2 linked regions of the Oryctolagus cuniculus genome follow. The protein of the gene in region 1 interacts with the protein of each later gene in a pairwise test. Links are inferred from orthologs where the notes say so. Each region holds a gene or a part of one and is shown in the gene's direction. Other genes may lie near its edges. The genes, in order: APOA1 and APOC1.

Region 1 (3,651 bases):
TCTTGTGGCATGAGACTGGCTAGAATGGGAAAGGCCTGGAGCCAGCCACTCCCAGGTCTGGCAGAGCAGAGAGCCTGGCTGGTTTCTAGAGAGTTAGGGAGTTTCCTGGAGGGCAGATCTCTGCCCTGGGTCCTAAATCCAGAGATCTGGGTTCCAGGTCCAGCCCTGACTGCATCTCTGAGCGATGACACACGTTGAGCAAATCCCTTCCACTCTTCAGTTCCTCGTCAGGAAGACGGTAGGGTGGGGAGAGGCTGGCTGGTCTCTCGGTTCTTCTCAGCGTGGAAGTTCAAAGTCTCTGTAACTTGGGTGCTGTCCATGACCCGGTGTGCGAGGGCCTGGGCCTTCCACAAGAAACCTTACAAGGCGGCACTGCAGGTGCCAATGTACGCACAGCGTTTCCCACTGGCAGGCTGCCTCTGGGGCCTCCAGTGTCTCTGACTGTGGCGCTCCGTTTTGCAGATAGGAAACTGAGGCCCAGGGTTATGACTTAGCTGGCTCCCGGTCCCCCTCCCCTGAGATGACGCAAAGGGAGATGAGAAACCGCCCTCCTGCCACCTCCTAGTCCAGGGACCCTCCCCTGAGTGTGAGCACAGGGAAACACCAGCAACACAAAGGCACGCGTCTTCAGTGTAAGTGCCTGCAATAATGCGACTCCTCTTTGGATGTTAGAAAGTCTCTTCTGTTTTAAAGTGATGGTCACTTTCCATGGTGAGAGTTCTATTTTTGGGAGAGAAGAAGCTACTGGGTGTGACAAAATTGAAAGTTGGCAGCTCCCCGTTAGAAGTCTCTGATCTCAGTCTGGGAGCCACTCCTCTACAGTGTCCCCCAGTCGCCACCTTTCCCATTGGTTAGCACTTTGGGAGGTCTCTGCGGGGCCTGGACAGCAGCAGTGGGGACCAGAGGAGGAACAGTGGTGGTGGGAGGTGGGGACAGGGCAGTGGGGAAGGGAGCCCCTCCCCTGTGGCACAGGCACAATGGAAGGCACTGACACTCCCCTGAGGGGTGCCAATGCCCCCCACCCTGGGGACTGCAAGCCTGAAACCACTCCCCTCCCGCCCCCATCTGAACCCTTGACCCCTGCCCTGCAGCCCCCACAGCTTCCTGTTTGCCCACTCTATTTGCCCGGCCCTAGGGACGGAGCTGATCCTTGAACTCTAAGTTCCACATGGCCAGGACCAGGGAGCAGTGACTAGGCCCAGCTGGGCTTATCAGCCTCACAGCCCAGCCCCTGCCTGGAGACATAAATAGGCCAGGGGCCAGCTGGCCGCAGGAGACTGCTGGAGAGCTCCAGGAGGCGGGGCAGGTAAGTGCTGCTGCCTACTCCAGGCAGCTGAGGCTCAGGTCCTGCTCCCTGGCAGGCTCTGGGGCCGCCCCCCAGGCCTTCTCCCGGGCTGGAAGGCTCCCCCTCTCAGCCAGGCCCTCTTCTCCTCCAGGTCACTCGGCTCCTGCAGGATGAAGGCTGTGGTGCTGACCTTGGCTGTGCTCTTCCTGACAGGTCGGTGCCCCCACCCGGTGTAGGGAGCCCCAAAACCCCAGGGCTCACCCAAGGAGTAGAATTTCTCACTAGGACCCCCCTCCCACATCCCAACCCCTGGCACTCTGGCTCAGAGCTGGCCTAACCCGGGGCTGCCTTCTCACGCCCAGGGAGCCAGGCTCGGCATTTCTGGCAGCGAGATGAACCCCGGTCCTCATGGGATAAAATAAAGGATTTCGCCACCGTGTATGTGGACACAGTCAAGGACAGCGGCAGAGAATATGTGGCCCAGTTTGAAGCCTCCGCCTTTGGAAAGCAACTCAAGTAAGCATGCAGCCCGGCACTGGGGCAGCGGCTGGGGGCAGAGGCCTGCAGGACCAGCTGAGTCCTCACGGCAGGGCCCCACAGAAGGCCCGGCTGGAGAAATGGGAGCGGGCTCCCCCTATCCTAGCACAGGGCAGACCAGTGCTGCCTGCCCACCAGCAGCCTGCAAGGGGTCCGTGTCCCCTGCTGTCTTCAGGGAGGATAATGGATGGGGTGTGGGGAGGCTTTCGGGACAACCAACACTGGGCACCGGTCCCAGCCGTGCCTCCAGCCTTCTGTACAATGGGACAGGGTGTGGGAGGGAGGTACTGGGTGAGGAAGTGTGTGGAGGGGCCAAGGCGCAAGGCTTCCCTACACATCTGGGGACGGGTGGGGCTTGTGGGCTCACCCAGGTAGGCGGGGTGCGAGGCCCCTGGGGGCAGTCCCAGGTGCCTGGAAGGGTCCCCCCTCAGCGCCTTGTGTCTGCCTCCAGCCTGAAGCTCCTGGACAACTGGGACAGCCTGAGCAGCACCGTCAGCAAGCTGCAGGAACAGCTCGGCCCTGTGACCCAGGAGTTCTGGGATAACCTGGAAAAGGAGACAGAGGGGCTGAGGGAGGAGATGAACAAGGATCTGCAGGAGGTGAGGCAGAAAGTGCAGCCCTTCCTGGACGAATTCCAGAAGAAGTGGCAGGAGGAGGTGGAGCGCTACCGCCAGAAAGTGGAGCCCCTGGGCGTGGAGCTGCGCGAGAGCGCGCGCCAGAAGCTGACCGAGCTGCAGGAGAAGCTGAGCCCGCTGGCCGAGGAGCTGCGCGACAGCGCGCGCACCCACGTGGATACACTGCGCACGAAGCTGGCGCCCTACAGCAACGAGCTGCAGCAGCGCCTGGCCGCGCGCCTCGAGTCCATCAAGGAGGGCGGCGGCGCCAGCCTGGCCGAGTACCAGGCCAAGGCCAGGGAGCACCTGAGCGTGCTCAGTGAGAAGGCCAGGCCTGCGCTGGAGGACCTCCGCCAGGGCCTGCTGCCCGTGCTGGAGAGCTTCAAGGCCAGCGTGCAGAACGTCCTGGACGAGGCCACCAAGAAGCTGAACACCCAGTGAGGTGCCTACTGCCGCCCCCGCTCCCCCTTCCAGCATTCGGCGTCTTAGAATAAAGTATTTTACAACTTGGGAGCAGCTTCTCTCTCTGGGGGGAATGGAAGTGGGGTGGCGCTGGAGGGGCAGCCTGGGCTTTGGCTCCCAGAGCAGGGCAGCTGTGGGACCTGCCCTTGGCTGCTTGGGAGTGAGGGAGGGCCAGGCAGAGCGACAGCCCAAGGCCAAGTGCCCCGCAGGAGGCTCTAACAGCCCTCCCTGAAGAGGCTCCGGGAACAGGGTGGGCTCTGCTGGGAGAATCGGATTCCCTGTCCCCAGAGATGTTGAATGTAAGCTGGGCATGTGGAGACATCCACCTGGGCAGGGGACAGGCACCTTTGCCGGCCCTCTGTCTCTAAGCCAGCTGGGGCGGGCCCTTAAGAAGCCACTGGGACTTGAAGGATTTGGGCAGGAGCAAACAAGCTGCTTGTATTTATAAAAATGCTTGAGGGGCCAGCATTGTGGTGCCGTGGATTAAGCCACTGCCTATGACTCAGGCACCAAATGTGGTCTCCAGATGGAGTCCCAGTTGCTCCACTTCTGATCCAGCTTCTTGCTAACGTGCCTGGGAAAGCAATGGGAAATGGCCCGAGTCCTTGGACCCTTGCACCCAAGTAGGAGACCTGGAAGAAGCTCCTGGTTCTTGGCTTCAGCCTGGCTCAGCTCCCATCATTGCAGCTATTTGGGGAGTAAACAAGCTGATGGAACATCTCTCTCTCTCTCTCTCTCTGTCTCTCTCTCTCT
Region 2 (4,501 bases), on another chromosome or scaffold:
CATTTTCCCTCCCTCCTTATCTGATGGCAACTCCTTCCCTCTCTGGCCGCTGCCTCTGCCCCCACCCCCACCTCCTGGGGCTGGCTGCCTCCTGGGTCCTCTCCCCCCACTCCCCGCTGAGCTTTCTGGCCTCGCCCCTCCTCCTAAGTCCTTCTGGCCCCCAGCTGTGTTGTCCACCTTTTGTCTCTCCCAGCTGGACTCCCAGGCCCCGTGCCCAGTTGGGAGTCGGCGCTCAGAGAGGCCAGGGCAGAGGCTGGGAGCAGCCGGCACCCTCCTCCCCCGCCACCCCCTCAGTTCTCAGGAGGGAGCAGGGGACAGGCCAGGGCTTGAGCAGGTGTCTCCAGGGCCAGGCCTGGCCTCTGCAGCCCCCGTACACCCGAAACTCCAGGGCTTTCCCTGGCCCGGCTCCTCCCTCTGGCCCCCCGCCCCGCCCCTGAGATCCTGCAGACGTGGGGGTGCTCAGTGGGGAGGGGAAAAGTCAGTGGGCTCACTGTGTGCCCGGGCAGAGGCCACGCCCCCCAGATCTCACTGTCCCCAGCGTCAAGGAGGAGGCACCGCCCATCTCTGTGGGACCCCCAGGGCTGACCCCAACAGGGGTCCCAGAGTCTGGGAAGGAGAAGCACACGGATTGGTCGTGCCTCAGTTTCCCCACAATAGGAGACTGGACAAGCAGGGGGAGGGGTAGGCATCTGGGTGGACATCTGGGGAGTGCAGGGCTCAGCTGGGGGGAGGCGGGGGCAGCCTGACAGGGACTGGAAGTTCTGAGTTGGCCCCAGGGATGGTGCAATCCTGCCAGGGCCTTGTCTGTGCCGTCCCTTTCACAACCACCATCGCCACGCCGCCCCCAAGGCTGACACGTGGTGGTGGGGGCACAGGGCCAGCCAACCTAGACTCTGGGGCCAGGCCACCCCCCCCCCCAGCTGCCAGGGATCACTGCCGGTCAAAGGCAGCCCACGGGGAGGGGGAGGCTTTGGAGTCGGGCCCTGGGGGACGGATGTGGCAAGGGAAGGGGGGGAATGGAGGGACAGGCTCGGTGCCAGCAGGCCTGAGAGGGTGAATACCAGCGGAGGGAGGGTTCGGGGCGAGGGGGGGAGGCTGGAGGAAGGGATGGGGGGGCACGCGCTGGGAGTTTGCAGCTGAGGCTTTGCGGCTCAGAGGAGCTGGAAATCCTCCCAAAACTACAGGGAGATGGGGGCGGGGTGCAAAGGGAAGCCCCCAGAGAGCATCACAGAGGGGCGACCGTGTGGTGGCTCCAGGGCTGGGCTGACAGAGAGCGCGCAGGTGCAGCAGGTGGCACTGGGGGCAGCAGTGCCGGCTCCACAGAGAGACCCCAGAGACGTGGGCAGCGCTGTTTGCTGAGAAGCCAGGGCGGAGGGGAGCAGGCCTAGGGACCCACAGCGGTATTCCCTGGGCCTGGGGGACAGCCCTGCCCAGTGACAGCCACAGGGAGGGGACGAAGGCTCCGGGCCAGGGGAAAGGGGCTATGGCCGCCTGGGGCCCCCTGAAGTCAGGGAGGCTTGGCGAGGTACGAACAGCACGGACCTTTGGCCCTAATTAGGAGTGCCAGGGCCCCAGCTGCCCCTCCACCCCCACCAGAGAGGGCAGGTGGGCACAGGTGCTAGGGGGAGGGAGGTTGACCCGCCCCGTCCCGCCCCCGCCCCAGCCTGATAAAGACCCAGGCGGGCCGAGACCTCCCGCCCCTGCAGCCCCGCGACCGTGGTTCAGGTTGGTGCAGCGTTCCCGGGGAGGGACCTCCGCCCCGCCCCGCACCCGCTCCCGAGGGCTCCGGACCTCCGGGGGGCGGCGGGGAAGGAAGGAAGGGCACTGATGGCTCCCACCCCCGCCCCCGCCCTCCAGAGCGCCCCTCCGGCCCCGCCATGAGGCTCGTTCTGTCGCTCCCCGTGCTGGTGCTGGCTCTGTCGATGGCTCTGGAAGGTAAAAGGCTGAGATTTGGAAACGTGAGGCTTGGCCAACTGCCGGGGGTCCGGGCCTGCAGGTCCCGAGAGCGCTCTGGGGCCCCTGCGCCCTCCGGGTTTCCCGGTCGTCCTCGGACCGCCCCCGCCCCCACCCCACCCCCACCCCCACCCCCACCCCACCCCCACCCAGCTAGGTGGGTCTCCAGGTTGCCGGAGCCCGGACGGCAGATCTGCCCCGAGGAGCCTAGCGACTGATGACGTATTGGGTCTCCCACATCTGATTGGCTGTCCTGCTTCGCCCCCTTGAGCCGGGCGGCGGTGGGGGGCTGGGGATTCGGGCAGACGAAGACCACCGCTCCCAGCAGCCCGAGGACCCCTCCTTCCGACCCCGCGGCCCCCAAGAGTCCCGTTCCAGGATGTCCTTATCCGTCCTTGGAATCCCGTCCCAGGGATGTAACTGGGGGTTTTGCACTCCGCACCCTCTCGCCCATCTGCGTAGGCCCTGCCCCAGCCCAGGCGGCCCCAGACTTCAGCACCTTGGAGCTCATCCCGGATAAGCTGAAGGAGTTTGGGAACACCCTGGAAGAAAAGGCCCGGATGGCCATTGAACACATCAAGCAGAGCGAAATCACCACCAAGACCCGGTTAGGACCCGGGGGCTGCGGCTGGGGTGGGCGGGGGGCAGGGCAGGGGGTGGGGAGGAAGCCCTGGAGATGGGAGAAATTCAAGCCCGGAAAGGCTGACGGCAACGCTGTGGTCCCAGAACCGGATGTGCGGGCTCCAGGTCTCCAGGGACAGCTGCCCTGACCCCACCCCCACACACGCGTAGAGACGGAGCGAGGTGGTGGCCGAGGACCCGCGCTCAGATGTCCCCAGCCTAGGCCTTCTCCCGGCTGTGTGGTCTTGAGACGGGGGTGTCACATGAGCCTCAGCATCCCGTCCTGTGAAATGGGTGGCTCAGGGGAGTGAGGGAGGCCTGCCTGGCGCCTGGCGATATTCAACACTTTACTTAACCCGCATCGGCTCCAGTGGAGAAGTTGGAGAATCGTCCCCTCACTGGCAGTGTTTATTGAGCATCCGCTAAGCGCCAGCCCCCCCACCCCCGCAATGATGAACAAGATAAAAATCCCGCCCTCAGAGGGCTGACTCTTCTTAAAGATTGATTTATGCACTTGAAGGAGTTACAGAGAGAAGGAGATCTTCCATCTGCTGGTTCACTCCTCAGATGACCACTGTGGTCAGGACTGGGCCAGGCTGATAGGAGCCAGGAACTTCATCCGGGTCTCCCACCTGGGTGCAGGGGCTCAAGTACTACGGCCATCCTCCACTGCTTTCCCAGGCACATCAGCAGGGAGCTGGATCAGAAGTGGAGCAGGGGCCAGCGCTGTGGTATAGTGGGTAAGGTTGGCGCCTGCAGTGCCAGCATCCCACGTGGGCACCACCTCTGATCCAGCTCTCTGCTGTGGCCTGGGAAAGCAGTAGAAGATGGCCCAAGTCCTTGGGCCCCTGCACCCACGTGGGAGACCTGGAGGAAGCTCCTGGCTCCTGGCTTCAGATCAGCGCAGCTCCAGCTGTTGCGGCCATCTGGGGAGTGAACCAGCGGATAGAAGACCTACCTCTCTCTCTCTCTCTGCCTCTCTGTAACTCTGCCTTTCAAATAAGTAAATAAATATTTTAAAAAGAAGGAGAAGAAGAAGTGATGCAGCCGGGACTTGAACCAGTGCCCACATGGGATGCCAGCACCAGGTGGTGGCTTTACCTGCTGCACCACAGCGCCGGCCCCTTGGTGCAGTCTCCTCTGAGGACGTGGCTCTTGAACCTGAGCCCTGAAAGATGAGGGAGAAGCATTCAGGCCTTTGGCTAGGAGAAGGCGCCGCCCAGCGGGCAGTGCAAAGTCCTGAGACGGGAAGATTTGTAGATAAAGAGAGGGGTGCACTACAGACCCAGGGACCGCAGGGACAGAGGAGGGAGCCGCAAAGTGGCCTTGAATGAGTAGGGGACAAACAGGGCAAGGGTAGCCGTGGAGGAAGGGCTGGGGGCCGGGTGAAGAGCTCTGGCTTTGAGCTGCTCTGGGCTGGCCGGCAAGCTGGGGCTCAGTGGGGCCTCCGGACTCCACAGGGGAAGGTCGGGGAGTCGGGTGGGGGACAGGGCTTGGACGTCCCGAGGAGTGACGCCCCCTCCGCACTCCCCCCCCTGCAGGAACTGGTTCTCAGAGACCATCAGCAAAGTGAAGGAGAAATTCAAGTCTACCTTCTCCTGAGCGCCCGCCGAGAGCCGCCGTCACCGCCCCCCCTCCCCGTGCCTGCACCTGCACCGAGGGCCTCTCCATGCACCTCCCTCCCCCCCTCCCCCACCAATAAAAGTCCCACAGAGATGTCGCTGCGGTGGTGGTTCCTGGGGGGCGGGGGCCGTGGCGGATGGTGGGGGCTGCGCCCGAGGGGGTCCTTGCTGCCTTGAGCCCAGTCCCCCTGCTCTGGGCTGCAGATGGGTGAACCTTGTGTGCGGGACCCTGTTCATCCCACAAGTGCACTGAGGCCCAGAGGGGCCGGGGAGTGGAGAACTCGGCCCAGCTCCCCGGGCAGCAC

Evidence for each region.
Region 2: the proteins of APOA1 (region 1) and APOC1 interact in a two-hybrid assay, tested with the Homo sapiens proteins (2 studies listed by BioGRID, with this or other methods). The link is inferred for Oryctolagus cuniculus from reciprocal best matches to the Homo sapiens genes APOA1 and APOC1.

Annotation. Positions count from the first base shown.
Region 1 is NC_091432.1:108,782,058-108,785,708, reverse strand, and holds APOA1 (apolipoprotein A-I), read left to right. Parts: upstream 1-1,323; 5' UTR 1,324-1,455; coding exon 1,456-1,498; intron 1,499-1,647; coding exon 1,648-1,801; intron 1,802-2,273; coding exon 2,274-2,877; 3' UTR 2,878-2,947; downstream 2,948-3,651. UniProt on the Homo sapiens protein: Participates in the reverse transport of cholesterol from tissues to the liver for excretion by promoting cholesterol efflux from tissues and by acting as a cofactor for the lecithin cholesterol acyltransferase (LCAT).
Region 2 is NC_091449.1:11,758,863-11,763,363, reverse strand, and holds APOC1 (apolipoprotein C-I precursor), read left to right. Parts: upstream 1-1,696; 5' UTR 1,697-1,725; intron 1,726-1,857; 5' UTR 1,858-1,877; coding exon 1,878-1,935; intron 1,936-2,415; coding exon 2,416-2,560; intron 2,561-4,115; coding exon 4,116-4,176; 3' UTR 4,177-4,290; downstream 4,291-4,501. UniProt on the Homo sapiens protein: Inhibitor of lipoprotein binding to the low density lipoprotein (LDL) receptor, LDL receptor-related protein, and very low density lipoprotein (VLDL) receptor.